Styela clava: one gene and its partners. The protein of the gene in region 3 purifies or fractionates together with the protein of the main gene of each other region. This does not show direct contact. Links are inferred from orthologs where the notes say so. Each region holds a gene or a part of one and is shown on either strand. Other genes may lie near its edges. The genes, in order: TIP41-like protein, mitogen-activated protein kinase kinase kinase 7-like and serine/threonine-protein phosphatase 6 catalytic subunit.

Region 1 (10,175 bases), on a different chromosome or scaffold from region 3:
ACTAATTTAGATAAACTGAAAATTACGAAACGATAAGATTTTATTCTAAGTACAAGATATCTAACATCAAGATTAATTTGTGCAAAAGCTATTCATTACAAAATAAAAATTTGAAGCTTTTTAGGAATCATAAATAGATAGAATATTGACATGAAACAACAAACAAGAATTGCCTACAAATATTGAAAAAAATTCAACCAAACGAAATAAAAAAAATATGTGTATGAATAACTGACTTTTTGACATACTTTTTTTTATGAAGGATGCAATATAGACGCATGGACAATTGTTTGTCAATATGTGTTCCAGTAATCCACGTCCAAACTTAACAATACAGTAGAAACTCTACTTACAAATTTAATTCGTTCCGGGAGCCGTTTCGTAAGCAAGAAATTTTGTAAGTTGGACATATTTTACCCTATAAATGCCCTTATCTCTTCTATGCCCCCATAAAACTTAAATTAAATTAGTTTAAATTATAAATAATGGCTAAAATCTCTAACAAATATATGTTATATTTAGATTAGTACATAATAAATGGAGAAGTACACATGGAAAGAAGAAAGAACAGAGAAATAACGAATAAAAATTATAGGTTTGTTTACCTTTGGGGTTGGCCAGCTAGACAAGGCCAAGACCGCGGTGAGTGGGAGACAAATGGTTGACAATTGTTAACAAATGGTTATTCAAAGCAATATTTCTACGAAAAGACATTCCGTAACTTGGAAATTTCGTATTCAGGGTCTTTCGCTAGTGGAGGTTCTACTGTATTGTCATAAGTGTGGTGATATTATAACTTGAATAAAATAATGAGTGTGACACAAAAGTACAAGATAACTCTAGGACTCCAAATCACAATTTTAATTATGATGCTCAGACTGTGCTATCATCACATAGTAATTCATTATTCCTCAGTGCCATCAGCATCTAGTTTATATCTACTTTTATCCCATACATTACCAGTTTTACTTGAAGATGCTTTTGCCTCATTCTTTAAGAAATTCTTTTTTATTTTATCTTCATCAATTGTTAAAACCGAGGAATCAAATCTTGATTTAGAATACGGCTTCACCAAAAATTCAGATTCCTTTTTTCGAATCGAAATCGAAACTTTATTATTAGATGATGAGAGTTGATTCTTAAAAGATTCATCCTCACTGGAGGATGATACTGAATCTTCGTGTTTTTCTGAATAGTCATTTAAAAATGACAAATTTGGATCAAAATTTGGTTCTTTGAGTGCAGATAATTTAATTGATAAAATTGATTTTGTTAATGGTGAATTTTGCATCAGAAGATAAGTCTCAATATAATGTTGTTGTAGCATAGAAGGACAGATTGGAAATTCTTCCTTAATATCGAATTTCAAGTTATGGTGCACTGATAAAGCAGATAAACAATTCAGTGACCGTATGAAAATATTACTGTAAGATTCAGGTTTCCAGCGATTCTTTTGACAGTTTGACATAATATCATTAATAGTTCTTTTGGCATCCTCAATCGATATTTTTTCATGATAAAACGTTAAAATATCCAAAATTGTACAATACTGTGATATTGTATAGCGTTCTTGAAGTGATTTACTTAATCTCACAACTTCGTTCTGCATCGTTTCCACAGATAAACATGAAAAACACATTACAACTCTTTTATTGATGGCGAAAGAAATATCACTATCATCACTGAAGGCCAAGAGATATAGATAATGCTCTAATATCCATTTTTCATCCATAGGAAATTTCTCAATAAGTTTTAAAACACCAGTCAATATAGATTCTCTCAATTTGTCATTATTCACTTTTTGAACATTTTCCATAAGAACACTGACAATATGTTGGCAATCTTCAGCCGTTGCTAAATCTTCAAGTAAATGCATCGTTGCTTCAAGGAGAGACTTATTACCGCATGATAAATTTTTCAACAATAAGTTAGTGTATTGCTTTGAATAACCTGGTTTTATTTTCACAATAATTTTTAATGCTTCAATACCAGTTAGTAAAATATTCAAGTCTGTACTGGATAGAGCAGTCTCAATGGCAGCCAGCATAACATTTTCTAATTTTTGTACTTTTGGATGTAATGCTGCAATTGTGCGAACACATTCTTCAATGATAGCCAGTTGTAAATAGCCTGCAGTTTGAAATCTAGCAAATATCTTCGAAAATATCTCCTCCAGATCTGAAAGATGTTGTTCATTGTAATTTTCCTTGGATAAAATACGAACAATATGAATCAATCTTATTTGAATCCATGGTCCACATATTCCTTTATGCATCATATTAATTGGCAATCTTCCTTGTTCTACTTGTTTCAAAATAAAGACGATTTTTCCATGAATATTTGCATCTTGTGGAGGTTTGCTAGTTTTTAACAGTGTTTCAATAATTGGTAAACAACCACTCATTATTTGTGGATCTTTATCACACAAACAATGTTTCATTATGCTCCATGCTGAGATGACATATTCCGGACCAATTCTGACCATTGCATGTAGCACAACCAATGCTTTATATCTCACATGTGAAGGACCAGACTTCAAAATTTTCTCTACAGGAGACAAAAACACAGGAATGAGATCTATATCTATAAAAGATGCAAGGGCAGTGAGGGATATACAGGAAACAGCACTATTTTTATTGGATATATCTTTGAGTATTGTATTCACAGCAAGGTAAACGCTTGATCGACATGATTGATTTAATATTCCAAGAGCGGTGTATCCAAGTACTTTATCAAAAACATTTTTTGAATCCGCAATACATTTTATAACGAATGGATGAACAAAATTCAGTTTTTCATTTATATTTCCAAGCTGAATAACAATTAATAAACATTCTCGTTTCTCAGATAATGTTAAATACATGTCTTGACATTTGCTTCTCATATTACCGATGCATTCATTTATGGTATTCCTGTAAGATTGCATGTGCATGCTCCTACTTGAGGCAATAGTAGCATGCTGCAGATGTTTCAAATTAATTCCAGTATTTAATTGAATTGAAGAACTTCCACGTAGATATGAAACAGTTTGTTCCCAGGTTTTTTCTAACATAGATGACATCATTTTGAACCAAATACTGAATGTGGTGAGATAAACAATAGTTATAAAATAACACTAATATCTAAAAAATCAGAATGTGAAAAATACAAAATTACATATATATATACCGGTATATGACAGAATTACAAACATATTTTGAATTAAACTTTAACCAAATTACCACCTCTCAACGAAAATAATCACGTCTATTCAAATTATATATATGATTCGATCGCCATTAAAAATGGTATCCAATGAAAATAACGATATTTTTTTAAACACCAAATTAATGTGTCTTATACTGGTCAATGGTATTTTGAAACATACTGAAAAGCACCATGGACTATATCACCAAAATATTCAACATTATTTGAATTAATAAAATTATCAAAACTGCCGATAAACAAATAAAAACTAGACATCAACAACTAATCTGTAACAAGAATAATATAAATGGATTAGGTTTCAGCATAATATTGACATGATTCAAATTTCAGACCTGCTTATTTAAAACCCCATTAAAAGCGAACACAGCACAAATATATCACACAAAAATTTTTAGTGTTTTTTTTAGAGTTTCAAGTACTTGTAGTAGACAATGGGGAAGAAGTTTGTGAAATATTTGTAACATTTGCATCGAAAACCAATTTATGTAAAATTTCTGTCTTTTTAGAAAGATACTTATCAATGGCATGAGAATCTGTAAGCGCACTTGCTGGAATATTGCTTCCATCTAGCATGCATTCTTTTTCGGAATACTCCCTAATAAGATAGTTTGTGCCTCCTTCGTGATATAATCTTGTGTCATGTGTTCGTGCCAGTACACCATCAACACGAAGAAAGAAGCGCATTAAAACAAAGAAACATGATGGCATTACTCTCATTTTAACACTTAGTTCTGCACAGCCATGATCTGCAAGTTCATCTTCAAATAGAATAGCCTGTTCAAAAAACGCTATTTTTTCCCGGACTTTCAATTTTTCAAGGTTTATTTTTTCCTCTGTCTCTTCTACTTTTACATGCTCAGGTTCCCCGATAATTGTGCCCTTGTATTTAGTTGAATATGTCCAATCAAAAGGCTTTACAGTTTGGTGAATATATTCACAATCTTTGCGACTTTCGATCCACTCTTTTGCTGCTGCCACTTTCATCAAATCTCTTTTGTTATCAACAAGTCGTAGTGCATCAATTGCATTAAATTCAATGCTGAATTTGTTTGTGTGGCTGATTTTGATAGCGTTTTGACCAAATGTCATCTCAGGAATTTGAGGAAGCTCAAGCTCTCTAGATAAAGTTTCAGCATCATCACTTTTCAATATAGGACCCTTTTTAGCAGACACTGTCCAAGGTCCAAAATGAAACTCTTGAAAATTTCGGCCTATCGGAGTTCCTGCCCTTGCTGCCATTTATCATACAAATATTGATATTGAATAGCACCTCATTCACACTTATAACAAATCAGAAGAATCTGTAAAACAGGATATGTGAAAATATGAACAACACATACTATGCTCTCAGCCAAACTCAACTAAAACTTGTCTTATCTGAACTTTATTGAAACTAGCTATTTACTGATTACCGTATATTTGAACAAACTCCTAAAAAATAATCCCAATGTAAATGTTATATCTGTATATTGGACAATTCCAATGTTATCATTGTACAAGTTTTGACTAAAATCATTTCCTCAAGATATTGATATTGGCCCAAGATGGAGGCTATTTTAAAAATTTCCAAACAATTTCAACAAAATGATATTATAATTTACAAACAATAATATTATCACAGCGAATATCGAGAATGCACCTGCATACGATAATGTCGATATATTTGGTAATGGTACAGTATTTCTCAAGTCTATTATTCTAGCGACTACTCTGATATAAGATATTACCGGTATATAACTGTTAATACAACAAGTACTGATAAATGTGTATAAGATAAAAAAATGATATACATAATCATCCCGGGGGAGAGGAAAGCCGATAAGGTGGCTTAACCACATGGCGAACCAAGGCTTCTTGTCCGGTTACCATTCCATGCCCGGTATGGGATGGGATTAGTTCGTTATTTGTTTTCAGAAGAAGCACAGAAGCATGGACTTGATAAGGGAGGAAGCCGTAACCGACCAGTGGTTACGTGAACCACCCTACAGCGGCGAGGAGTCCAGCAATCCTCTCGCACATAACCATCCCTGCATGGGATTCAAACCATTTTTATTTACGGTTGAATTGTTGAATTTTACTTGCAACTAGGAAAAAGAAACTTATCAAATTTGTTCATTATTGCAACAATAATATTCAGTTATTACCACCTCCAATCCGGTAGTCTAATCAAAGTTGTCCTCGAATGCTAACAAACCCATAACCAACAAAAATTATTGTATTTACTATAATCAATATTATGGGAATAAGTTTTTTAAGAATTTGGATACAGTAATTACCGTATAATTTAGTAAGTATTATGTTAGGGTATTTTTTTCTGTGAATTCATTAATTTTATCCTGAGACTCTTGAGTCACTCAGAATCATAATAAGGATAAGTTTATTTCGACTCATGGGATGGGGCCACGACCCATCTAATTTGGCCACATCTACGGCCCATAGCTTAACTGGCCACGGCCTCATCAGGAAGAATTCAATTATCTTACCAAAATTTTCAATTTTCACAAAATTGTCAATATTCGAACCGAAAAAAATCGCGGTATGCCACCAAGTTTTTTTCTTACGATAAGCTTTTATAGAAAAATAAAGCAAAATACCAAGCAACAGAAAAGGATACTTCTGTAGTATGTGTACCAGGTTAGGGTTAGGACAATATTTTGTTCAGATTTTCCACATTATAGTTCTATTATGAGTTCGGGGACTGTCTGTGTTAGCCAAGTGAATAGTCCCTTTACACAACTTGATGGGCCACGACCCATAGCCTGATGGATCGAGGTCCAATTCGATGGGCCACGGCCCCGGCCCATAGGGGAGTCACCACTCCCACTTTAAATAAAACTGGTTATAGAATCGGGAGAGCAAACGAAACCTCAAGTAGCCTACGGTTTAAAGCATACAGATTTTAGGTGGGAAGGTATTGATAAAATTAAGGCACGCACGCACACACATACACACAATCATTGAGACTGAGACATGATATTGATAGGGTCGGGCGTGAAAGAAGCGAGAAAACAAAATCAATTAAGTTACTTAGTAAAAAGAAAAATATACAAAATAAATAAATAAATAGGCTAAATTATTTTGCCACACCAAATTAACAATTGTATGAGGATGGCCGAATCGGATACAGAATTAGTCAACAAGAGTTATATACTGTGGATGGAAAAATATTTCTCAAGGGATATTGTCAAGCTGATTATAGTTGGGGTCACCTAATGCCAAATCAGAATTGCCAAGTTGGATGCATGAAGAGGTGGGCTAGACCTGCTTCACTCACCATATAGGCCTACATTTACGATACGGTACCGGTACCTGTATACAAAATAGACCAAACTCAAAAAAGCGTGTATCATCCTAAAAATGCAGTTGCTAAAACGGACAAAAAGAACCGGTTTAAAAAGGGGCACCTTGTAATGGAGAATACCGTACGCACATTGGGCGCGGGATAAACATTACCGGTACCGTTCTGAAAATTCTCGTCCTACAAAATTTACCCAGCGGGAAGAAGCTCGCGCTTGATGTAGACTAAGCATATGATTTGATCCAAAGTGACTGAATTTGATCGATGGATATTTCCCCGACCCTTGACCCAAGATGCTTTATTGAGAGTGTTTCTGATTGGATTAGATTTTTGGCATAATGGACCTTTCCCCGAGCATGGACTTCCTTGTTTACTTCGTGACATTGGCCAATCAGCAAGATGCAAAAAGTGACGTAACAATGCCCCCTTTTCGCATCCGCTCAGACACTTTTCTCACTCAGACAGATTTTCAAGCGTGATTGTAAACATTACCTCGTTTTTGCGTTTTTGAACTCTATTCGTTAGTTTTCAGTTGTGTTTTGGGAACTTAAATAAAAATCAGATAATTCAATGATCACTCTGTCTTTCTAGGAGTTTTAATTTAATTGCAGTAAATAAAATTAGGCTGTGATAGACTAGCCTGAAATTCTTTACCGGTACTTTTAAAAAACAGATTGTTGTATGCGATGAATCATAATGACGCCAACTCGCAAAAGCACTCTTGAAATAGCCTTGACAATTTTGCAATGGTAAAGTATAGGGAGAATTTTCCGAGGGTCAAAGGTCGGGGAACGGTCCATTTGACACGTTTAGTGGACATAACGATCGTTTTGTTGTTGTTATGTTGTTCTTTGACACGTTTTGAAGAAATCGCTTTTTTCTTTGATTCCCGGACCAATTGCTTTGAAATTTTCAGTGGTTAAAGATAAAAATTTCTTCAGAAGGCTTTTACTTTTTTTTTTTTGCTATGACGTTATCAAAATTATTGTCATTAGGTGGCGCTACGTGTCCATATATTTGAGAATAGCTCTCTTGTTGTAGTTGTACCAATGACATTAAACTGGTTGTACTGAATACAATAATGGTTTTGGAGAGTTAGCGCTTATAAACCGCATGTTCGAAACATCATTTTTATTGAAAAAACACTCAACTACATGCCACCTACCGGTAGGTGATAGCTAATTTTTTCCTGATCGATCGTAGTTTATTTGGGACTAATTTTTGAATTTTGCAACTAAACTAAAGCATACAAACCCACTAAAACGAGGCAACGTTTACAATCATACTTGAACATCTGTCTGGGCGTCTGTACAACTTTCAATCGTTACGTCATTGTTGACATATTTGTGATGGTCATTGTAATGGAACTAATCAATGGGTGCTAAAGCCCCAATTTTCTTGTTTTTTTCGTGACAATGGTCAATCAGCAGTCAGTAGTTTATTTTGTGACTTGACAAGTTCAAGAGGTCTGTGTGTGTATGTGTGTGTGTGTGTGTGTGTGTGTGTGTGTGTGTGTGTGTATGTATGTATGTTTATTAGTCTCGTAGTAGTAAGCAATACAAAAAATTGACAATATTAATATTGGTGACCGGACGCATGCACAAGCGACAAGAGCGTACTGGCCTAAAACACAAATGTGCGACATGCACCCCTTTTGACAAGTACAGAACAAAATATGTTAGATTAAATGCATATGATATGGTCCCTTATATAGACAATTGTGTAAGGTGGGGCAATGGGTTGGTGTGCCGAAAGTGGTAATGGAGGAGTACACAGAACTGTTTATACGAGGGAGTTTATAAGACAATATGTATAAATAGGGACAACACAATATACCAAATACATATATACATAATGATAAAATAAAAATTTAGGCGTAGATACAGCACCCTTGAGTGGTGGGACCACATACCGGTAATATGAATGGGCGAAATATAGGAGGTACATGTGCAGTGCCTATACGGTCGCGCCACTAAAGAGTGATAAATATAGTCTTTGATAGAGTATAGATATTTCGGAAAAAATGGGAGCCATGCAGATTTGGTGAAATGCTTTAGTGTTGCTATCAAATTCCTATGTATTATTGTTCTATTTAAAGGTTAAAGCCGAACGTGGTGAGAATTACAGAAAAAAAATAAACTTGATGAAAAGCATTTCAACAAAACCCAACATGATTGCACTTTTGCCAGAAGAAGAGCAATGTATAAAAGTACAATTTAATTAAGGCTGATGCTTTAAAAAAAGAATCATTATTTCTCTGTCATGGAGTGCCCAAGTTGAATTAAAATCACAATAGAATAGTATAGTTTCCTGGGGTGAGGGAAGGGGAAAACATATTTCATTTTGTGCAATGACCTATAAGAGGAAAGGAAGTCCCAGCATGGTACTTTAACAAAAAGCATTCACTCTATTGATGGCTGTATTTAAATTTGATGTAAATGTAATGTAATATGCTGTCCGAGACCTAATTTGCTGTTCTTTGTCTCATTCCGCATGACAATAGAATTAGAACGGTGATCTAAATATTAATTCAGTCCATTGTTTCATATTGTATCCTGCTGAGGTGGCCTTTGGAGTTGAAATCGCACTCTGATGGGTTGTGGTTTGGTAGCCTTCGAAGTTCCACGATGGTGGTTTCAATCCAAATGGTCTATAATCGTCTCCTCATTTTTCAATTCACCTTAAAAAAATAAGCTCCGAAACAGTAATATGTTCAAAACAGAGAGTTTGGCTAATATGACGATAACAAATGTTGCATAAGTTTGGAACGAAATTCTGAGCTTGATTTAGATTTTTTGATGCTATTAGGTAGGGAATTCCAAGCTTTTGGTCCACATACTGCAATGGATTATTGTGAGATACTTTTACTAACATATGGAATAATTTTTTTTCTTTATTTCTGCTGTTTGAATTTGGGTTCGCTCTGAACAATCTGTTCAGGCTGGATGGAAGTTGCTCATTGTAGCAAGTGAACATTATGCTGCATAGTTCAAATTTAGCTAAATCCTCAACGCGTAGTAGCTTATATTCTTTGAATAAGTCATCAACTTTTTCTTGACTTCCCCTATAGAAGACTCTTCTAATAAAACGGTTGCATACACTTTGAATTTTTTTGATAATGAACGTTTGGCGATGAACATAAGTTGAGGCACAATATCGAATATGGTTTTCTATCAGAGAGTGGTACAGAGATATTAAACAAGATGTATTCAAATTGTTGGCTATTTTCGTAATAGCACCAAGAGACGACCTTGTTTTCGATAGAACCAGGTTTGTGTGCTGTTTCCAACACAATTTATCATCAATTATTACGCCCAAAAATCGCGTCTGGTTAACCCTTTATTTATTCCATTTAATTCCAGATTTTGTTCCCAGTGAAAAGCGAAGTACAAATAAATTACTCTTTGTTGAGGAACGATGGTTGTGGTCATGTACTGAGCTAAGTGTCACAAAGTAATGCTCAAAAGCTGCTGGTAATTGATTGTTTTGGAATTGATGCATAATCTTAGCATTTTTTAGCTAATGGATATCAAGTAGTTTTAACACTCTACGATTGTGGTATAGAATGTTCAAGTTTGAACGTAAAGGTGCCCGGGAAAGAATTCTAATAGCCTTATTTTGCAAAACTTCTAAGTTGTGCAAATTTTTTTGAGATGTAGAACCCCATGCA
Region 2 (11,153 bases), about 11 Mb from region 3:
GGACTGCTTAGTGTTAGTAAAATAGGATTTACATAATTATCCTTGGAAAGAGGGAAGATAAGACAGCGTAATCATATGGCGAACCACGGCCTCTTGTCCGGTTACCAATGTCGGGTATGGGAATAGGTATTCAGTTATTTTTCTATATCTTATCAAACATCCTTGTGACACAGGTCCATATCTAGCAGTACAAGAAACATGGAATGTAGAATAGACGGTTTGTCACATGGCGCTGAGCACATTTAAATAAAAATGCTAATATTTGTGGGCTAGTCGGCATAGCGCAGTGGCACCCAACAAATTTCACCCAAGCTATTCACCATCTTTTTTTGTCCCCTGAGATAAATATGAGATCAAATTATATATAGAAATATTCAGTGTTCACCTGTCACTGCCGGTTTCATAATAATCAGACTCTTCATCACTGTCAGAGTATTGTGGAAATACAAGGGGAACATCAGAACCACGGAAATACGGCATCAATTCTGTCATTGCATATACAACATCATTCATACTTGGACGGGAACTCGGATTTTTTGACCAACATCTGGAACAAGAAATAATATTAGGTTTTCATTGAATTTAAAAAAGACTCAACTAAAGCTGAATAGTATGGAAAACATCTTGTAGCCAGATATTTTGATTTCTGTACCTAAAAATCCTGAAAAATGGATTCTACATAAAATGTTTTCTATGGTTTACTAGAGCAGGGCTGTGGTGTCAAAGATAATTTACCATCAACCAAGACTTGAGAAAAAATATCTTCTCTTGAACTTGACTCGGAGAAAATCAAACTTTGGTGACAAACACATTGAAATATCCAAACCTTTATTGATAGACTGTTGTCAGGACCACATAGTAAACTTAATGCTTGAAGTTTTGTGAAAATTTATAGCAAACTCGCACCCACCTTGTCATTAGTTCCTCAATAGGTTTTGGGCATCCCTGTATTAATGGCGGCCTCGTACCGGTATGAACTGCCCACATGATGCGAAATGCTGGACCTCCCAACTCATCAAATGGTTTTCTTCGAGTTAAGACCTGTCAACAATGTTGTATATTAGAAAAAACTTAAAGAGAAAGAATATATCATAACCATGGGCACAATATCCGAGTAGTTAGAGCACCCGATTTTACACGTTGGCACAGCAGAACTAGTCAGATCTTGGTCCTTATAAAACTAATAAATTCTCATTCCCAGTTGCTGAATGTACATTGCATTGTTTGAATTGAAGCTTAGAAAACGACTTTTAAACTCTCCCTATACTTATTCAAACTGTGGCACAAAAAAAAGAGCAAAATCCAAATTCTACCTCCCAGAGTATGATTCCCCAGCTGAAGACATCACATCTCTCACTGTATTGACATCCTTCAAATACTTCAGGAGCCATCCATGCCGCTGAACCCTGTGCAAAAGAATGGTTTGATACTTTTAATTTTTTTATGAATGAAATTAAGGGCACTCACTCAGAAATTAAAAAGACGCATTTCTGAGCAAAGTTATGAGCACACACTCAGAAGTATTGAGAATCATCTATGAGCAAAGTTATGGGCACTCACTCACTCAGAAGCAAAGAAGACTCATCTCTGAGCAAAGTTATGAGCACTCACTCAGAAGTAAATGAGAATCATCTATGAGCAAAGTTACGTGCACTCACTCACTCAGAAGCAAAGAAGACTCATCTCTGAGCAAAGTTATAGGCACTCACTCACTCAGAAGCAAAGAAGACTCATCTCTGAGCAAAGTTATGGGCACTTACTCAGAAGTAAATGAGAATCCTCTCTGAGCAAAGTTACGTGCACTAAGTTATGTGTCAGAAGTAAATGAGAATCATCTCTAGACAAAGATACACTCGCTCACTCCAAAGTAAAAGTGACTCAGCTCTGAGCAAGTTTTAAGATTTTATGGTAAATTGTTATTGGTTTGGCTGCGATGTGAAACTGGAAAGCTGACAACATCGCTTGCTTATTACCAGTTGCGCACAGATTACTATGACTAGGCTTCCTCTCATATTTCCCTCACAATGGGGATAAACACAAAACCCATCTCATAATGAAAATACATGAATCCCTACCTTGTTATTAGTCATCTGTGTGTGAATGTCACAGGCAGTGCCAAAGTCACAGATCTTCAGAACGAGTCCTTGGTTCGTCAGAAGTAAACTGAACAGTAAAATAATAGGATTCAAAGCTGTTTGAAAGGATTTTCTCAAGTTGGAGTATGCGGCCTAAATCAGTGATTCTCGAACATTACAGCACCTCATTCATCGTCATCACTCGGAGAAATAATTAGAAAAAAAAAATATCTTACTTTGGGGGTTTCAGGTCTCTATGTATCAGAGCTTTTGGTTTCATATTATGAAGATAAGCGACACCTTTTGCACATTGTAAACACCAACTCATCCCATGGCCCCCGGTGTAGTGGGGGAGAGGCCCTGCCCCATGCAGCACTGAAAAGTATAGAATTATGCTAGTTTATATAGAGGTGCCAAACATACTTTTTGCAATGAAAAATTTTATTTTTTTTATTCTACAGTAACAGGTATTTGATTGATCTATGGGCATGTAAAAAAGATCAATTGTGTCTGTGGAAGCCCATAGATTCAAACCAACAGTTAAACGAGAATATCGGTCAGAGACCGAAGACTTATCGATCGAAAGTTAGGGGATCCCCCAAAACAGCGCTCCTACTCCATAGTGACACCTTGTGTCCCATCACTAATTAATTAATAACTCGCTAATTATACAACATAATTCATCCAAAATCAATAGGCTTCTGGTACAACATATGATGAATGCACATGCAAAATCTGGAGCAGATTCAATCTCGCTTTCGTGAGATATCGCGTGTATCTTACAGACAGACAGAAAAACAGACAGACAAATACCTATCAACATACTTACCGATTAAAATCGATAGGTAACAAGCTAAAATGCTAATATAAACATTATATTATTACTTTTCAACTTTCAACGACTATAGTTTTTATGATTATGAATTTCTGATGAAAATAACGTTATATTGGCCTTGATTCTTACATCACATAAACGTTAGCCAAGCTGTTGTGAAAAACTTATTTCAATTCATAGGTTTTCATATTAAATCTTGTGCCTCGGGCCCGGTAACCAAGTCTATTGTCAATAATTGGCCCACTCAGAAAAATAGTTGTACAACCCTGGCTTGTCTATCTGGCATATTTCAATTATTACCATGGCAAACTTTTAAATGAAAAATTTAATTTTTTTTTCAAGTCTATAAAATATAAATCCCATCGAATACAGTTAATTCCAAATACTTGAATTTCCAATTTATATCTACTTTACTTACAGTCATACAGAGATCCACACTCTGCCAGTTCCATAACAAGAGACACAGGGTTACTGCAGGCACCATACAGACGAATGATATTAGGATGTGAAACTCTGGAAATAATAGTTCGATTAGGGCTGGGAATAGTCAGAATCGCAATGAAACAAACCTACTCATATCCTCACATATAAGCAGAGTTTGATACGAAAAGAAAGTTGCCAAACAAACTAAGGGGTCACCTTAAAGCCGCATAACTTTGATCGCACTAAAAACCTGGCTTGTACGCGCATAACTCTATTCGCGCTAAGCGTACGGAATGTTACGATTGGTAGGGCCGGTATATATGAGAATTTTTATAAATTCACCATTTTGAGATCGTTTTTAATGGGTCGGCTTGTATGTGAGGATATTAATGTGCATTGTGTTTATTTTGTTTCATACTGTTTTTTTCATATCTACAGCACTAAACTTGGTAATTGGTTAATAAAATCACAGGACCTATTAATCATATTAGTTATGACTTTTCGGGCACTTCAGATTTTTGATATAAACATGGCATCATTAAAGATTTATATTTCATGAGTCTGAGTCAGGGGTTTCAAAATCTTTTTTGAAATTTTGAAGATCAATTTGCGATCAAAACGAGTTGTGCAATAAAGCTAATTTACACAATAACATATAAATATAATATAAGAAACAATGTAAGTTATATAAAGTGCTGGAATAACATGCCAAATCAAACCTTGAGAGCTGCCTCAATTCTGTAATGAAGGCTCGACGTTCGTTCTCAGATTCAATCTTCTTCACAGCGACAGGATGTTGGCGATAAACAGCTTCATAAACTACGCCGAAAGCTCCTTTGCCAATCGTCTGAAAAGTAAAGATGAAACGGAATATGAAGATGCGGATGGACACCATAATGTACAGTTCTCTGATTAAAAGAATAGCCCGCACATGAAAGACATCAATTACAACAGTGAGTGCAAACTCTTCCCTTACGAGACAGGCTGGGCCTCCATATCGAATCAAAACACAATAAACTAAACTAAAAGAAAGTGCAATTTAAAAACATCACCATTGGATTCCTTGAAAATATAATAATCTAATCTAATAATCTATCTGAGGAAAAAATCTTTTACCGAAGCATTCGAAAGTTTTTAGCAAGTAAAAGCAATTTTGGTCACAAATTATTACCAAGACAAGCTCAACACAATCTGACACATGTGTTGTCGTGCCAGACATCTTCGTTTCAGGGACCAATAGAGTTTTGTTTTATTGAAGCAAAGTTCGGGACATCTTGGAATCAGGGAACTGTGCCCCACTGTGAATAATACTTTTATTTTCACATTAAAAATGATTTAGAATTTCTCAATCACAGAAATAAAGTTTTACCAACTTAGCAAACCGGGATACTCACATTCCCCAATTTCATTTCTTCATATTTTATTTCCTCAATAAATCCAGGCGGAGATTCCGCATATACGACATGAGCCATCGCTGCTCAGCTGTTCGACCTCGCTGCAACCAGTGCCACATACAAGAGAAAACCTGGACGACCCGCCACCTAAGCTGGTTCGAATGTTTATTTCTCTTTTTTACTAAGTACTTTTTACCTACGCTCCCATGTACGGTGACTGAACATCAGCAAAGAAATAGGATAAAACTCAACACAACCACACAATTTCTCCAACATATTCAAGACAAATATTTTACTTAAGATGTGAAAGGAGTCGCATTTGGTGATCAACGATTATCTTCTGATCCCAAGCGTATGAAATGGAAAATGTAGCGATAACATGAAAATTGAGAATGAATCAAGCTGATAGGATAAAATTTACATATTAAACCCTGGGAAGAGAAATGCCGATAAGACGGCTTAACCATATTGCAAACCACGGCCTCTCGTCCGGTTACTCCAACCAACCTGGCACACATACTTATTTTTTATTTCCGATGTTGCCTACTACATCAGTTCTAAATTAACTTCTTCAAAAACATTGCACGAAATTTTTCATGTTTCAGATTTTGATATGATTATGAGGATAGGATAGAATTCACATATTTATCCCTGGGGAGAGGAGAGTCGATAAGACGGCTTATCCATATGGCGAACCACGGCCTCTCCATTCGGTCCAGTTACCATTCCAAGTCGGGTATTAGATTAGTTAGTTATTGTTAATGGTTATTAGGACTTGGTGGTGGAGGAACGACCAGCGGTTACGTGAACTTTTTCATGTTTCAGATTTTGATATGATTATGAGGATAGGATAGAATTCACATATTTATCCCTGGGGAGAGGAGAGTCGATAAGACGGCTTATCCATATGGCGAACCACGGCCTCTCCATTCGGTCCAGTTACCATTCCAAGTCGGGTATTAGATTAGTTAGTTATTGTTAATGGTTATTAGGACTTGGTGGTGGAGGAACGACCAGCGGTTACGTGAACCACCCAACGACGGCGAGGAGTCAAGCAATCCTCTCGCACATAACTATCCCTGCATGGGATTCGAACCTGCGAACCCACGCAAAGTAATTAGAGGTGCAGTGGCGAGCGTATTCCTAACGCTTAGCCCGTTGAGCCACACCGCCGCGTTAGTTTGACGATTGCTAGTGTAGAATGTTGACTCTCGCTGATATGCACCGTCACTACCTTAGAAATAAATTAACCTATATTAATTAAGGCTGTTAAACGCTGTTTTTCTACGGTAAATTGAAACAAAAATCGAAACCATCCTATTTCAGAAGATTCCTTCGATATTAACGTGATGAGGGTATTACAAGCGACTGCAAGTTACGGCCCCAAAGCTAACCGCACAAAAAGGCCGAGTAGAATCCTTATTAAATCATTTTATAATTTGCTTGATCTCAATATTTCATTTACATATAGCAAATAGATTAATATCGTGCTTTTGGCGGCCCCATCCGGTATTTTATTCGAGGTACCGCAGTTTGAAATCTCATATTACACGCTTCGGTAGTTGGATATGATGTCATAATTGACATTTTTGGCGGCCGAAGCGTCTGTGAAGCGCGCCATTTCTTTACAATTTCTGGCTGTGGGTGGTCAGAAGAATTGGTGAAACGAGAATCGGTAAACTGGTATATGAAAAATTATTGTTCATATAAAGTCTTTGCAATGCAAAAAATGGGGTGTTAATCAGCTGGATATTAGCGACATAAACTCGGTATAAGAGATTTACTTCAAGAACGTTTTGCATCGTAGACTACATCGCGTGAGTGATTTCTCAGTATTTGATATAGTTTTCATGCGAGTTCCGAAGTTCTGTAGTCTGCTGTTAACTTGGGATTTATCTATTGGGCACTTAGATAGGATACCAGCATATGTTACTGCATCCTCCACCATCAAGTTCATGCACCTTGCACCTTAAAACAAGTGACCGGTCATACTATGGGGGGGACAAGGTTTATGGACTGGACCACGTAATCGCAATCTCAACAAATTCTATGAGCTATTTTTTTTTATCTAAAAAATATCAATTTGGTTTTAGTTTGGTTGTGGCAGCATCTGACGTACCAGTTTGAACTATCCAATGGGTCGTGTCATGATTATACTGATCCTATGTGATAAAGCTCGACCAATATTACTTCTTGTCGCCGATATCAATATATCGGCCAACCGGTAGCGTATAATCAATATCGCTATGCCGATATTAATATAAATCATATTTTGAGCCTCGCTTTTATGAAGCACCTCGTGAGTCTGTATTTTGATTTTTATTATCATTGCATTGAGACTTTTATTTAAATAATTCCAGTTAATGCTCGAACAAATGTTATTCTGTAACTTGTCCTGCTACTTCAATATCAGTCTAGCTATTTCCAGGAAAAAGAATTGTTAACCCTTTCCGTGCAATTTTTATTTTTTATTAAATAATCGTATTTGCTACGCCGATTTTATGCATTTGTACCCCCACAACTAATCGATCGACTAACGAAAAACTAATGATCCTCTGCTGCCCACTGACGGCTCGTTGGAAAGCTTATTTAAAGAGCTTTCAATTGGCAATTATAAAAAAAAGTTTTTCTAAAATTGGTGGTCTGAGTCACAAACCGGATAGAAAAAAGGCATTTTTTTTTCGTAGGAGTTGAAACTTCAAACCACAATAAAAAATAGAAATATTCGCTCAAAATACTTTGGTAGATGGAAGGGATAATATGTCTTCTATTACCACCCAAAAAACACCGAAATTTGCATAAATTTCAGAAACACTCTCTCGTTCCGCCGCAAATAAAATTCCCGTCGTAAACGAAAGCGAGATTTACCGTCGCTTATGTTAATCTCGAAGAAGACTTCTTATCAATAAACTAAAACCTGGAAAAACTAGACCAACAGTTTGCGACCGATTGCTAACTAAAACAGTGGAGTACATCAATGTACCCACCGCAATCTAGCGACCTTTGTCGTTGGTACGTATACGTGCCCACCGCACGGAAAGGGTTAATCTGACGTTTTTAAATATAACTGTGGACACATGTTAATAAGGGTATTAAAAAATTATAAATTGATATATTTCAAAGTGAATCGTGATAATGATAAATTTCTTCAATATTGTGATAGCATATGTTCAGTTACATGTGGAATTTTTAATAACTTTGTTTCCAGAGACTCTCAATACCTTATTTAGTCAATAATAATGAATTAGGTTTTTATTTTGTAATTTTCAGCAAAATGATAAACAACCATCAATATAAACAAAACTGCTACCCCAGAAATTCAAAATTGAATTTGGGAATGTCACAAATTCGGAACTGACATTATTGCTTTGAGATACCTGTGCCATGTTTCTATGATCACTAACTCACCAGCTTCCAATCGATTCTATTTATAGAACCACCGTTTAATGCTGTTACTAAGTTTGCCTTTCTCTCATTGTGTACTCTCTCAAAAACGTCACTTTATGAAACGTCATTGTTACAACTTTTCAGTTATGACCATGCATGAAATGGCTAATCATAAGACACCGGGAATTAGGAGAGACACCTTCATAACGCAAAATGAAAGCGAGAGGAATATTGAGAAACCAGTTACACAGGGGCGAGAGCCGTTGTGGCACGCAGCCCGGCGCTAGCCGATATATATCGGCTGATATGATATATCGGCAAACACGCAATATCGGCCCTATATATCGGTCGAGCTCTACTATGCGGTAACCAGACAAGAGACAGTGGTTCGGCATATATTTATTGACTTTGGATAGGATAGGATTTACATATTTATCCCGGGTGAGAGGAAAGCTGATAAGACGGCTTATCCATATGGCGAACCACGGCCTATCGTCCGGTTACCATTCCGAGTCGGGTATGGGATTAGTTATATTGTTTTGTTTTCGGAAGCTTTCATGCGGGTTGAATATGTACATCTCTATTCTTAAGGGAGAAGTACAGCTGTGCTTGTGTACCGGCAAGCAGGCTAGTACTGTATTGAAGAGATAAATATATATTGGCGTGGCGGTGTGGCTCATCGTGCTAAGCGTTAGGAATACGCTCGCCACCACACCTCTGATTACTCTGCGTGGGTTCGAATCCCATGCAGGGATGGTTATGTGAAAGAGGATTGCTGGACTCCTCGCCGCCATAGGGTGGTTAACGTAACCGCTGGTCGGTTATGGCTTCCTCTACCATCAAGTCCATGCTTCCGAAAACAATTAACTAACTAATCCCATACCCGACATGGAATGGTAACAGGACGAGAGGCCTCGGTTCGCCGTATGGTCAAGTCGTCCTATCAAGCCTCTTACCCAGGATAAATATGTAAATCCTAAATAAATAGGATAAACTTGTTATTTTTCAAAGTACCGGTATATTTGTTAGCTTTAGTTAGCGCTGTTTGATTAGGTCATATCATATTGTGGAACTATCAATTAGCGAAAGCTTATATATTTCGTGGAGAAAAAATATGTTTTCTAATTTGTCTGTTTTTGGTTGCTATTTTAGTTATTATTTAATTCGACCATTTTCATGTACAACGTAAATAAGCATATAACGTAAATCTGTTGCAGTTCAGAACTTTTAGTAAATTGTTAGAAATGGCATATCGGAGAAGATGCATGAATGTTCTGGGCTCATGGATAAGCATACAAAGTAGTATTCGTGTTATGTTCTGAATTGGAGTAGATATGAAACATTAGGCAAAGGGTTAGAGTAAGCATATGAAGTGGGATTCATGGTATGTTCTGGGTTAGGATAGATATAAAACTTTGGGCAAATGGTTAGTGTAAGCATATGAAGTGGGATTCATGGTATGTTCTGGGTTAGGATAGATATAAAACTTTAGGCAAATGGTTAGAGTAAGCATATGAAGTGGGATTCATGGTATGTTATGGGTTGGTATAGATATAGAACTTCATGCAAATGGTTAGAGTAAGCATATGAAGTGGGATTCATGGTATGTTATGGGTTGGTATAGATATAGAACTTCATGCAAATAGTTAGAGTAAGCATATGAAGTGGGATTCATGGTATGTTATAGGTTGGGATAGATATAAAACTTGAACCAAATGGTTAGATTAATTCTGAGTTGGATGGATATAAAACTTTAGGCAAATGGTTAGAGTAAGCATATGAAGTGGGATTCATGGTATGTTCTGGGTTAGGATAGATATAAAACGTTAAGCAAATGGTTAGAGTAAGCATATGAAGTGGGATTCATGGTATGTTCTGGGTTAGGATAGCTATAAAAACGTTAAGCAAATGGTTGGAGTAAGCATATGAAGTGGGATTCATGGTATGTTCTGGGTTAGGATAGATATAAAACGTTAAGCAAATGGTTAGAGTAAGCATATGAAGTGGAATTTATGATATGTTCTAGGTTGGGATAGATATAAGAAGTTAAGCAAATGGTTATAGTAAACATACACGGTATGTTCTAGATTTAGGACAGATGTAATACCTTAGGCCAGGGGTCACCAAACTTTTTTGACCGCGGGCCGGGTATGACTCAAACTATGTTGAAACGGGCCGGATGAATATTTTTGTCAATGCAATAAAATTGGGAAATTCATTCAACAATATAAATTCTACATTTCTGAAGACTTAAATATTAAATTCCACCTATATCGCAGAATACAGATCGAGAACATCCCATGAAAACAAATATACAAGATTTCTATATCTAGACAACTATCCTGAGTTTAGCTGTTATTAGAACGTTGCTGTCATGAATTAGGAATGTTACAAAATCTGCTTTTTCGCGCCAAAAAATGTACGCAACACGTCTGACTATTACCGTTACGCCGTGTTGGAATACCGTTCATGAAAACGACTACGGATTGCCTGCTGTATCTTGGAATTCCATGAAATTGACATAATTTAGATAAAATAAATAACTATTATCTGGTATTTGAATTTTTTCATTAGCGCATAAAATATCCCAACATTCGGAGCTTCTGAAAATTACGCTCCAGTTATACGTAGTGCAAATTAATGATAGTGTCTATGGACACCAATAAAATTTATATGGACGTGTGTATTTCGTGCCTAGCTTGATACTTACCAATTTTTATGAAGTTTGTACAATCAGAACATCGTTAATTATTACCCACAATTAACCACTGTCAAACTATCATGCACAACTCCAGCGTTTATTTGCGACGGTGGCGGTGCCAATGACCGTTGCCAGAATAGAATCCTGAAATAGTCTCAATATTCCAACGATGTGACGCACATCGAAAGATTGGTGTTTGATAAGTGTTCTTTTTTCATATTTATTACAGTTCTTATCAAAAAAGTAATACAATCCTCATGGTAATAATTGGCCTGTCGGGCGGTACTAAAACTCCGTTATTTCTTGACCGTTTTTATAAAATAATTTCTTAAACATTT
Region 3 (11,235 bases):
ACAAATTGCATGTCAAGTATTTTGTCATATTTCACAGAATTTCTAAATTGCCAAACTGCATGTTTACCACATGCCATGATTATTGATATTGAAATACTGTCTAACTCCTGTGTGAAAAATAAATTTGCAGCAGAGTTGGCACATTTAAAAAAACAAACAAGCAATGTCTTGCAAGGACAAATATTAATGCGCTCTCCGAAATCGGTACGCCACCAAACGGGTGCACGTTTCAAAGCTACTGTACGGTACCGGTATTGTTTTTCGCATGAGTTATACCTTAAATATATACTACTACGTTATACAGATGTGGAGAAGGAAGCTAATATCACGAAACAGATTCAAAACTTTATCGCCTTGCAGTAGAGTGAGTCGAATAACACTGTTTTTGATATTTAACGTTACATCATCTGCCGGGCCCGGGCGCCGGCCTGAACAGGCGCCACACCCCATCTCCAGTCACCGAAAAGATGAGAGATAGAAACATTTCATTTTAACAAAACAATATTAATTAAACAAGAGAGCAACGCTCAAATATATGGACACGCGGACAAGAGCGAAGCAGTCCCTACCTTTGACGTTACCGTTACCGTACCCTCAAAAAACTTCCGAGTTTCCAGTCACAAGAATTTTCACAGTCAGCCGTCACGCTTGACTTGTTAAAAACCGTGTTCTCATAATTAAAAAGTAATACAGCGCAATTTTGGATGAAATATTAGATCTCATAAGATTCTTAGAAAAGTTAGGAATGAATAAAAGTAATAGCCTTCTGACAATCAAATATTTTAACCACTGAAAATTTCAAAATCAATCTTTCAATCAATCAAAATCATTCTTTAACCAGTGAAAATTTCAAAGCAATTGGTCCAGTATTCGAAGAGAAAAGCGATTTTATCATGAAGAAAAAGAAGAAAATCAACAAGAACAACAACATCCATAGGTCCACTCACGTGTCCAAAAAGGACGATAGTACAGATTTTTATAGAAATACAGCGCAGTGAATATTTAAACTTTGAATTGTGTTGGTCAGTATGCAAGACCTTTACAAGTTACCTAGGCTCCTGACCATAAACTTCGAGCGAAGCGGTAAATTCTTTGTTGGATAAATTTACTTTTGGTTCATGAAATCACAGATGGTCCTCCGGAGAAATACAAACGTCCGCATCTTCGGTGGCGTGGTGCATAGTGCTAAGCGTGAGGAATATGCTCACCATCGCACTTTTGATTACCCTGCGTGGGTTCGAATCCCGTCGGGGATAATGATGTGCGAGAGGATTGCTGGAATTCTCGCGTAGGGTGGTTCACGTAACCGCTGGTGGGTTACGGTTTACGGTTTGATTGTTACTTGTTTTCTCATTTAAAATTGCTTCAAAAGTATTGCCCGATTTTAAATCGCGTTCACTGTTTTGTATTGGATACGGAATGGACCTATGAATCGTTTGTTATTACGTTGTTGTTGTTTCTCATGGTATTTTCTTCTTAACGTTATGAAAAAATCGCCTTTCTCTTTAACTACTGGGCCAATTACTTTTTAAAATTTACAGTGGTTAAAGATTGTATTTTTCGCTAGGAGGCTATTACTTTTTCCTGTCTATATATTTGAGCATAGCTCTCTTTTTTGAGGGTGGGCTGGTAACCTTATCCTAAGTTATACTCGCCTCCCATTTATGTCATCATTCTGTTTTACCTGTTTACTTCTTGTGTCGTTTTGAATTATGTCTGAGAACGGAAATAAAATGACCAATTCCATACCCGACATGGACTGGTAACCTTGTCTGTTTACTGTTACTTGTGTCGTTTTGCTTTATATCTGAGAACGGAAATAAAACGATTGATCCTATACTCGACATGGACTGGTAACAGGACAAGAAGCCGGGGTTCGCTATCTGATTGAGCAGTCCCATTGGATTTCTTCCCCCGGGATAAATATGTAAATCCTATCCTATGAAAATATCTTCTGTTAATTAATATCTGAACCAACGTCAAGTCAACAAATTCTATTTATAAATTCTTTTATCGCAAGTAATTGCATATCTTGCTTCGTGACAAGGAATTTAAAATATTTAATTTTTTCTGTAAATATGAACGACTCCAAGAAAATGCGTGCTTGCTTTCATTTTATTGTGCTTTTAAAAAACGATTTGCTTTGACGGATTCCGTATATATTGGTACCGTACTATTGTGGGTTCAGCAGGACTTTTTCTCGACGTAAAGTCGTAGAACTTTATGAGGCATTTGATTTGGTCTGACCGGCGCGGCGGTATGACTCATCGTTCTTACTCTGCGTGGGAATTCCATGCCCGGATGATTATGTGCGAAAGGATTGCTGGACTCCTCGCCGCCGTAGGCTGGTTTACGTCACCGCTGCTCGGTTACGGCTTCCTCTACAATAAAGTCCATGCTTCCGAAAAGAAATAACTAACTAACCGTATACCCGACACGGAATGGTACTGGTAACCGGACGAGAGGCCGTGGTTCGCCGTATGGACTATGGTTAAGCCGTCTTATTGGTTTTCCTCTCTCCCGGGATAATTATGTAAATCCTATCCTGGTCGCAACTCTCCAGCCCATATAGAATCGATAAATTATAACATAGTAAAAACCAAGACATTGCGATTGACAATTTATTCCAATTATAGCTCGCTTGTGATCAACATTCTAACTTTCTCTAAGAATGATTGCTACCTGTGTCCCAACGGCTTTCACGTAGAATACCCGTCAATGGATGTATTGAGCATCTCATATGAGAGCAATGAACAGAAAAGCTTTAATGTTGACAAAGTTTGTAAATATATTGTGAGAAATCTTAGGACTTTTAATTCAATAATATTACCATACTTAACAATTACAAAAGTTGTTTAATCAGTCAAGATTCATAGGAAAATCATAACTCTGATGATAAGCTTGAAGATAAATAAGCAAAGTATGATTAAAAACAATACTAAATCAATATTCAGTTGTTATAACAAATAATACCAGGACTGAGAAGTTACTGGTAATGTATATTCGATAATTTAGCGAAGCATGGAAATAAAGCTTTGAGGAATTTTTTTTTCTGTCAAAACATCAGACAGAAATTGGCGAACTGCATTGAAACTGACCAACTCTCGCTGAATAAATGAAAACAATCATAATAAAAACTTTGCACTCGCGTCTGTGAAGTTCCACTTTCAATTATCAATTTCGGGAATTACCGTAGCTTTGATATTTTGATCAAAGACAGAAAAACAATGTCATAAATTTTCTTTCAAGCATGGACATTGTGGAGTGTTCAGCGAATTAATGAGCAAGATGAAAGAGAACCTAATAACATAACAATATTTCTTATGTGAAAAAGATAATAATTTCAATGTATATGATGATGAACTTTTTATAAAAAATCCAGAGTTATCAAAGGAAAACACACTGTAACTTTGACTTATACAATCATATTCATGCTGCCAATAGATAAAGGGCAGCTGGTTTGCTAGCCATCCACTTGAAACATATATAACGAGTTGTATAAGTAATATACTCATATATACATGTTCAAGCGGTTCCAAAATTTATCACTTTGGGGTCTTCAAGTGCATTACAAAGTACATCCTTGGATCTATATATTATCCTTTGGGTATTGTCTATCATCATAAAAACGCCAGAGTAAACTGAAGTGCACTCTGCTAGGTTGATATGGAATGTCAACCAATAATATTCATACTGAGATGTGACAGACGAAATCACATTATAAAAAGTAAGGTGCAGTGTTCCTGGGAGGTATCACACGCATATTATCTGGAACAGCCCTGAAGAGTTTGGCTTCTCTGTCATCAGGCGTACGAACAAGCAAAATGGAAGCTATATTTCCACATCTATAACAGTAGTTAGGTGCAGACCAGACAGTGACCAATTTCTCATCGAACATATACTTGTACCCTTCATGTACAAGTTGATGAGCACGACAAATCAATTTCAGGTTGTTGAGATGAACGAATTCGTTGGTCACTTTAGATCCAAAAAGCCAGCCGGCACCTCTTGGACTTATTGCCCATGTTTCCACATCTTCAGGGTCAGACCATACAAGATCACAGAACGCTCCTTTGTGAGGAATCTCTTGCTGCCTATCGATGGTGCGAATCTGATCCATGGTTTTCACATCTGGAGATAAACCACCATGTACGCACAAAATACATGAATCAATAATAGCTGCAACTGTGAGAAGGTCAAAAACTTTGGTGCAGTAACGCCAAGCATTAGCATTTCCATATTTCATTTGGCATTCATCATAGAAACCATAAACTTGCGTGATCTGTCTGCTTTCATGATTTCCACGGAGAAGAGTAATCTTGTCTGGCCATTTTGCTTTCAGGGTTAATAGATATGTGAATGTTTCCAAACTGAAGTATCCACGATCGACAAAATCACCCATAAAAATGTAGTTGGTTTCTGGCACCTCTCCGCCAGTCCGGAACAGTTCTAATAAATCATAAAACTGTCCATGAATATCCCCACAAACAGTCACAGGTGAAGAGACAGGTTGAACATTGGATTCTTCAAGTAGAAGGTCACAGACATAATCACATAATTTTTTCAAATCATTTTCTGGAAGATATTTACAATTCTTTTCAATTTCAATCATACGATCCAGGTCCAAGGGTCCCATGATAAAACCTAAAAACATAATAAACTGTAGTGTCTTTATCTAAATGCAATTGGCAGACGAAATATGAATGATAGTATAAATTCACAGAAGACACGTTATCAAGTTATGTATAGTATCTGTGATATAGATACAGTCGTAAACATCAATTTTGAAATGCTGTATATGCCATATAAATAATCGAGGCGGTGGAGTCAGTATGGCCATTTTAAACTCACAGCAATTTTGAGCAAAATTATAAATTTGGAGAGTCAAGATCTCAGACTTTTAATAAAAGTAATAGGAGACAAAACTTTCCTCAGTTTTTCGGTTCGCTGGCAGAGTCAAAGTTCTTGTTAAAAATCAATCAAAGACTTTTCAGAAGCCTTGGAGTTCCCTTGACTCCATCTCCACAGCATTTCAAATAAGAAGTATTTATCCTGATCATATCAAAGTTATCAGTATTTAATATAATTGAACGAGAAACTTACCTGGTCTGTTATAAAAAGCTTCTAGAAAAAGCTAGAAATACTAAAATTAATTCAATTTTTATAGTGTCTGCAAAAAAAAAAGTTGTACAATGATTTGGCAGGAAAAAATGCAACAAACATTAGTAATTATGTGATTGAAATCTCAAACTGTATCAGAAAACAAAAAGAACCTAATGAGAGCAATAGGAGAGAAATAAGAAAACAAAAAGATAGTTAGTTCATAACAGGCACATAATGATCATCAACATTGGCAGCAGAAAAGAAACAATGAATGTATCAACACAAAAAATTATCACGAATAAATCTACTTATGATTTTGTATTTAAAAAATCAGAAATTTTGACGTGTTATTTCTGGTCTGAACAAATATTTTGACAATACAACTAATGGTACCAGTTCCGTTATTAAAATTGTACTTAGAATCAAATCCCAACCTTATTTCAAAGATTGGGTTGAAAGACTGCTTTTTTCTCACTTCAAAAAATATAAGTATTATAAATTTTGTAGAAATAAGATTTTCTTTGGATGCATGTACAGGAATACTTGTTTCGTAGTTCTGACTTGTATAAAACAAAATTCCATCAAAGTAAAAGGATAGGAGTTGACTAAATGTGTCTTTTAGCTCCCTTAGAACGATGACTTGTTCAATAATGAAAATCCAGGAGACATTGACTTTCCACTGATTGAGTCAATAAAATGTTTATCTTGAGAGAATATACTTGGAATAGAAATAGGGCTTGCACTCATCAGCTCATTATCAATATGATGATCTTCATCTCTCGATTCATCTTTGAGCTCTGGTACGCGGCCTTCCCACTCTTGGTATATTTCTTCAATCATATGACTTGAACTCTTAAGCAAATATGGATCAAAAGGAAAAAAGCAATCAAGTGGGTTAACCGAAGCAGAGTTTTTTGATTGACCACACACAGGTAAAGTCATTCTGTTGTTTCTTTCTATTATTGTGTCACAATAGACAAGTTGATGTTGTCTCATTAGTGAAGAAAACATACCAACCACAGTGCTTATGCAAAATTTCAATGGATTCAGACGGCTCATAATAATATGTTCTAAATTGAATTTGCGCATTATTTCAAATCCTTTTGGAAGGTCTAATATCTGTTTATGCCTGAATATAATAATATAAAATACAGCTTGGCACGCACTATAAAATGCTCCGTGGCGTACAGTTTCATGTAGAGGTCCGATATAGTCGTATAAACCTTCTCTCTCTTTGATATAGCAATGTATCCATACAGTCATCGCATTTAGTATTGTCAGTACAGAATTCAAATGTAGATATTTTGCCCTTGCAAGAAAGCTAGCTATATATGACAATGACGTCTGTCGTAATATCATAGGTGCACTTGGATCTTGAACCTTTCTCCATAAATGGTTGAGAAAAGTCTCAGAAAATGATTTTTCAAAACTGCAGATATAAAAAATTAGGAATTGAATATGACTGCTATCATGAATTGGAAGAATCACTTTGTCAAAAATGGAGACTAATTCTTTTAATAGAGTGTCTGCTTGGAGTGATAACTCCCCATTTGAATAACAAATATCATGTATGAACTGAAGTAGAGTTTCCATCACAATATCCAATTTGTCAACAAAACCCTCTTTTTTCATTGAATTATCAGTTTCCATTTCAAATAGATCATGTTCTTCAGTAGTCATTGATTTCTTTATAGATTCTCTTGGACAGTGTGTATCTAGTTTTAAGGATTTACTTATGATAAGTTCCAAGATTTGCGGTCGCAAGTTAACCCGGTATGTAGTCAGAAAAAGCAAATTCTTGATGTACCAATCCAATGCTTCTTTGTCCTTTTTTATAAAGGGATAATGTGAAACTAAAAGTGGCAAAACTATGTTAGTTGTCAATGGTATAAGGGTAAAAATTTTCTTTAATGTGCCATGGATAATATGAAATATTTCTTCCTGGGGTACACAAGTCTCACACGATGTGAGATTAGACAAGCAAGATGCAGGAATAAAATGAGTAATAAGACAGTTCAAAACTTGGAGTTGGTGGACAGAATTGGCAGCAACAAGTTCAAGTAGAAATTTCTGAAATAATTCGATTACTTCTTTTTCTCGATTGACCCATCTTATGCTCAGCATTCGATGAACTAATTTCTTTTGATCCTGATCAAGGATATTAACAATGTCAATAAATTGTTTCAACATTTCACTGAGATGACTTGATTTGATTAATGGGTCTTCTATTTGTTGTACAATCAGCATGTAATTCTCAGGAATTCCACATTTATTTTCTTCTATAACATCAGCTAGATGTCCACCGAATCGCACAGACTTTTTACCGGAGCTCTTCATATCAGTCATTATTCAAAAACTTAGATTGTACAATATATCAAATATGAAGTATAATCTGGAAAAAAATATTAAGAAATTATATAAGAAGTACATGGATAATTGAAATTCAATTTATAATATTCTGGACTGTTTACGTTTTAAGGGACAACTTCACATATTCGGTAATCATTATCAAAAATGCGGTGATATTATCCACATAAATACAGAGCAAAGTTATTTGAAATCCATGGTCACATCATCCACTCAGCAAGCATAACATTGCAGTCGTAATTTGTATCTGAAAATGGAACTTAAAGAAATACACAACAAAATCGCAACCTAAAAATTAAATCTAATAGTAACATTTCTGAATTTTAAGCAGTATAGATTTCTGGTAATAGTATTCAAAAATCAAATTTCATAATGTATATTTCATTAAATATCAAAACAATATATTATTTTTCAATTATTGTGCCAAAGTTGTTTGTTTGAATCTATAATATACATCATACTATAGTGCTCTAGCAATAAAGCCATAATATGGCTGTTTGCTCTAAGCAAACAATAATGAATAGCCTAAAAACTTTGTATGTAGACAATTGTATTTTCAAAGAATTGCAACAGATTTACTCAAGAGGTAACCGTATCACTGGTGATAATAAAGGCAGAGCCATTTCATTAAGAACAGTCAACCCAGGTGACAAAGTTCAAAAACAAAAACAAGAAAATCTGTATGAAACATTACATTACCGAATGACTTGAAGGATTGTGAGAAATGAATAATGAGAAATGTTAATCTACTAGTTGTGATTAATTTGTACAATTTCTCCACAAAGAAATAACTCAATATGTTAAATTACTTGGCAATAAAGAATTCATAGAATAGACTTTGCAACATGGATATTGATGTGATTTTGCACGAAATAGATGTCACATTGATATCTTGAATGTCTTTGCATTTTGATAAAGATAACAATGGCCTTCAAACTTTTGAAATATGATTATGGTATGTTTTGAAATGAACCAGATTGATAGTTCACTGATCAGTCACAACAGCTGCTTTAACAATTTGAGTCAGCAGATCGAACTACGACACAATATTTCAAGCAGCATATATCAGCTATCTTCCATACCCTTATGTGACGAAGTGAAGTTACATTTTCATTCAACGAAGAACATTATACAACCTCATGATTCAGCTTCACTTTTCACTTCGGAATTTTCTCCTTCCTCCATATTTTCCTTTTTATTATCCTCAACAAGAAATTTCTCCCAGTTTTTTATTCGAACTTCTCTTTCTTTATCAGTCTCTTCGATTTGATAGTCCGTAACACCATCCCACGGATCAACAGAAATTTTTCTTTTTGCAAACCATCTTTCATTCATTGCATCCCTACATTTTGTAGCTTCATCAAAATCTTTAAATGAAACGGAACAGACTCCTTGAGGATGGCGATCAAATACAAGAACCTTTTTCACATCCCCAAATTTTTCGCACTCTTTGCGAAGATCGTCTCTTATTTCTGTAATAAGTACAGCATCTTCTTCAAATTCTTTAGGATCGAACATATTTTTAAATATTAGTACTCTTTCACTTTTTTTTACAGCGTCTTTTCTTGCTAGTTTCCAGTCAAGTAGCCTTTCTTGTTCTTTGTGAAGTCGTGCTTTTTCCTTTTTGCTCAGCATTTTTGGTTTTTTTGATGGATCATAAGATCCCTTGAGTTCAAAACTTGCTTTTTGTACATGAATTCTGTATCCCCCACGCACTAAAGTATCATCTAATAATTGCATTGCCAAATCTAACGATTCTTTTTTTAAATAACAACATAAGCCATCACCTTTTAAATTACCCTCCTTGTCTTTATACAACTTCAGTTTGGGTTTACCGGTATGAGGATTTGGCATTATGATTCCACACTTTGACATGATAGAACCAAACTCTTCTAAACTTACATCTGGTGGTAAGCCACTAACATAAACATTTGTGTTTTTATCTTCCGTAACTTTAAACCAGGTAGGATCAGACGCTTTCCTTTTGGTGTCTTTCTTTGTATTTTCTTTTTTATTTTTAACTTTTTTCTCTGCCACCCATTCTTGTTTATTTTCATCCCAATTGTAAATCACTCCAGTCTTAGGATCAGTGTATGATGTCGTAGTAAAATTTCCATGCCCAGAAGGATACATAACCTGACCATCCTCTGAAACCCAAAGTTGTTTTTCATAATCCCATTTATAAAGTATTCCCGTGTTCGAATCTGTATATGTATGTTCAGTCTTACTATCATTTTGCGACTCGTTTGTACTAGTAGACTCATTATTACTGTCTTTGTTAGTTGAATCGCCATTTAGTTCTTTTGAAAGTTCTAAATCCCATTTGCCTTGGTCACTGTTCCATACATAAATAACCCCATTTGGATCTGTATATTTGCAAGGCTCTCCATTTTCATTATGTTCTGGTTCCCATTTTGAAGTTTCAGAGTTGAAATGAAAAGTTACTTTGGTTACAGGATCTGTGTAAGAAGTGAATTTATGTGATGAATCTACTTCTGTTCCAGCGTCATAATTCTCTTGATATTTCATCATCAATTCGACACTTAATTTAGGAAACCAAGCCTTTTTCTTTTCGTCCCACTCATACTCCGTTCCATCTTCATCAACTTTGACCTTTGCACCCCCGCCTTCTTCCAGAGTATTTTCTTCTTTCTGAAGTTCTATCTGTCTCTGAAATTCCTCGTATGTTTCAGGATTCATTGCCATGACTGCGTTGATTGATTGTACAAGTTATGTAATTCAGGGTAATCTAAATATATGATAAAGAAGCATTTGTAGGTTATATATATTGAAACATTATCTGTAAAGGGGCCAGCATAAATACTGACCAAAACGGATGTGATCCGCAGAATTATAGACAATATTTCAATTTTAAAAAATCTATTGAATCATTTATCCATCACATACTCGATATAAAAAAATATGACAAAAAGCTTCAATATATTGTTTTATAACCGAGGATGTCACTTCCAATTCATTCTGCTCCTAAGTCCTAAGAACAAATAAATGATCCGGGTTTATGCTTTTAATTTACCTATGGGAAATTTTCTTTATTCTTAAAATTATATCTTATCAACATATTTTGTTTTCAGGCTGAAAGTTTAATGCTATAACTATGGGAAATGAAATATACCGGTAACTATTTTTTTTATTTTTAAATTATATTTCAGCAGCATATTTTTTTTTCGGGCTTCCAGGAAGATATTTCAGCAGTAGATTAATAGTCTATAAAATTATATGAACAAATGTATAGAAGCTAGATTTGATGTATATTGGCAGCAGTTGAAAAGATATAAATGGTAACAATTTCATGAGTTTTTATGTATATTCATAGCAATACAGGTATTAAATTCATAATCCCAAACAGTGTTGATTGTTCTATGACATAATAGATAAGGTATAATAGCTTAAAGGAAATGAATGTATATAAAGGCCAAGCAAGTCATATAAAAATAACAAAATGAGTGAACGGCATATAGGCTACCCAGGTGAAATATATTCATAAATTATGCAAGACGTCATAAGCATTGTAATTAGCGATCACTGATTGATCAAAGTCAATTAATTTTAGCCAACTAGCAGCAGAGAGATTCTCTCGAGATTTGGGATCACCTTTCAAAAAAATTAAGGGTTTACGACCAGCTTTATCTAACACCTTCAGATATGAATTGACATGGGAATACGTGGACTGATAAAAACCTGGTATATCGCATGCAAGAAAATGTAAACGTGGACAATTGGACATTAAAACTTTTACACAAGAAA

What was found.
Region 1: the proteins of serine/threonine-protein phosphatase 6 catalytic subunit (region 3) and TIP41-like protein purify together in Homo sapiens (co-immunoprecipitation; 4 studies listed by BioGRID and IntAct, with this or other methods). This does not show direct contact. The link is inferred for Styela clava from reciprocal best matches to the Homo sapiens genes PPP6C and TIPRL.
Region 2: the proteins of serine/threonine-protein phosphatase 6 catalytic subunit (region 3) and mitogen-activated protein kinase kinase kinase 7-like purify together in Homo sapiens (affinity purification with western blotting; 3 studies listed by BioGRID and IntAct, with this or other methods). This does not show direct contact. The link is inferred for Styela clava from reciprocal best matches to the Homo sapiens genes PPP6C and MAP3K7.

What each region holds. Positions count from the first base shown.
Region 1 is NC_135252.1:7,462,273-7,472,447, reverse strand, and holds TIP41-like protein, read right to left. Parts: upstream 4,531-10,175; 5' UTR 4,447-4,530; coding exon 3,619-4,446; 3' UTR 3,122-3,618; downstream 1-3,121. Other genes in the region: AP-4 complex subunit epsilon-1-like, read right to left, coding at 905-3,064. UniProt on the Homo sapiens protein: May be a allosteric regulator of serine/threonine-protein phosphatase 2A (PP2A). Isoform 1 inhibits catalytic activity of the PP2A(D) core complex in vitro. The PP2A(C):TIPRL complex does not show phosphatase activity.
Region 2 is NC_135259.1:21,784,405-21,795,557, forward strand, and holds the start of mitogen-activated protein kinase kinase kinase 7-like, read right to left. Parts: upstream 4,996-11,153; 5' UTR 4,806-4,995; coding exon 4,728-4,805; intron 4,181-4,727; coding exon 4,053-4,180; intron 3,424-4,052; coding exon 3,329-3,423; intron 2,451-3,328; coding exon 2,312-2,450; intron 2,164-2,311; coding exon 2,076-2,163; intron 1,407-2,075; coding exon 1,314-1,406; intron 1,042-1,313; coding exon 911-1,041; intron 548-910; coding exon 386-547; intron 1-385. UniProt on the Homo sapiens protein: Serine/threonine kinase which acts as an essential component of the MAP kinase signal transduction pathway. Plays an important role in the cascades of cellular responses evoked by changes in the environment.
Region 3 is NC_135259.1:10,554,006-10,565,240, forward strand, and holds serine/threonine-protein phosphatase 6 catalytic subunit, read right to left. Parts: upstream 5,245-11,235; 5' UTR 5,104-5,244; intron 4,645-5,103; 5' UTR 4,637-4,644; coding exon 3,719-4,636; 3' UTR 2,608-3,718; downstream 1-2,607. Other genes in the region: RNA polymerase I-specific transcription initiation factor RRN3-like, read right to left, coding at 5,731-7,449; 17S U2 SnRNP complex component HTATSF1-like, read right to left, coding at 8,608-10,176.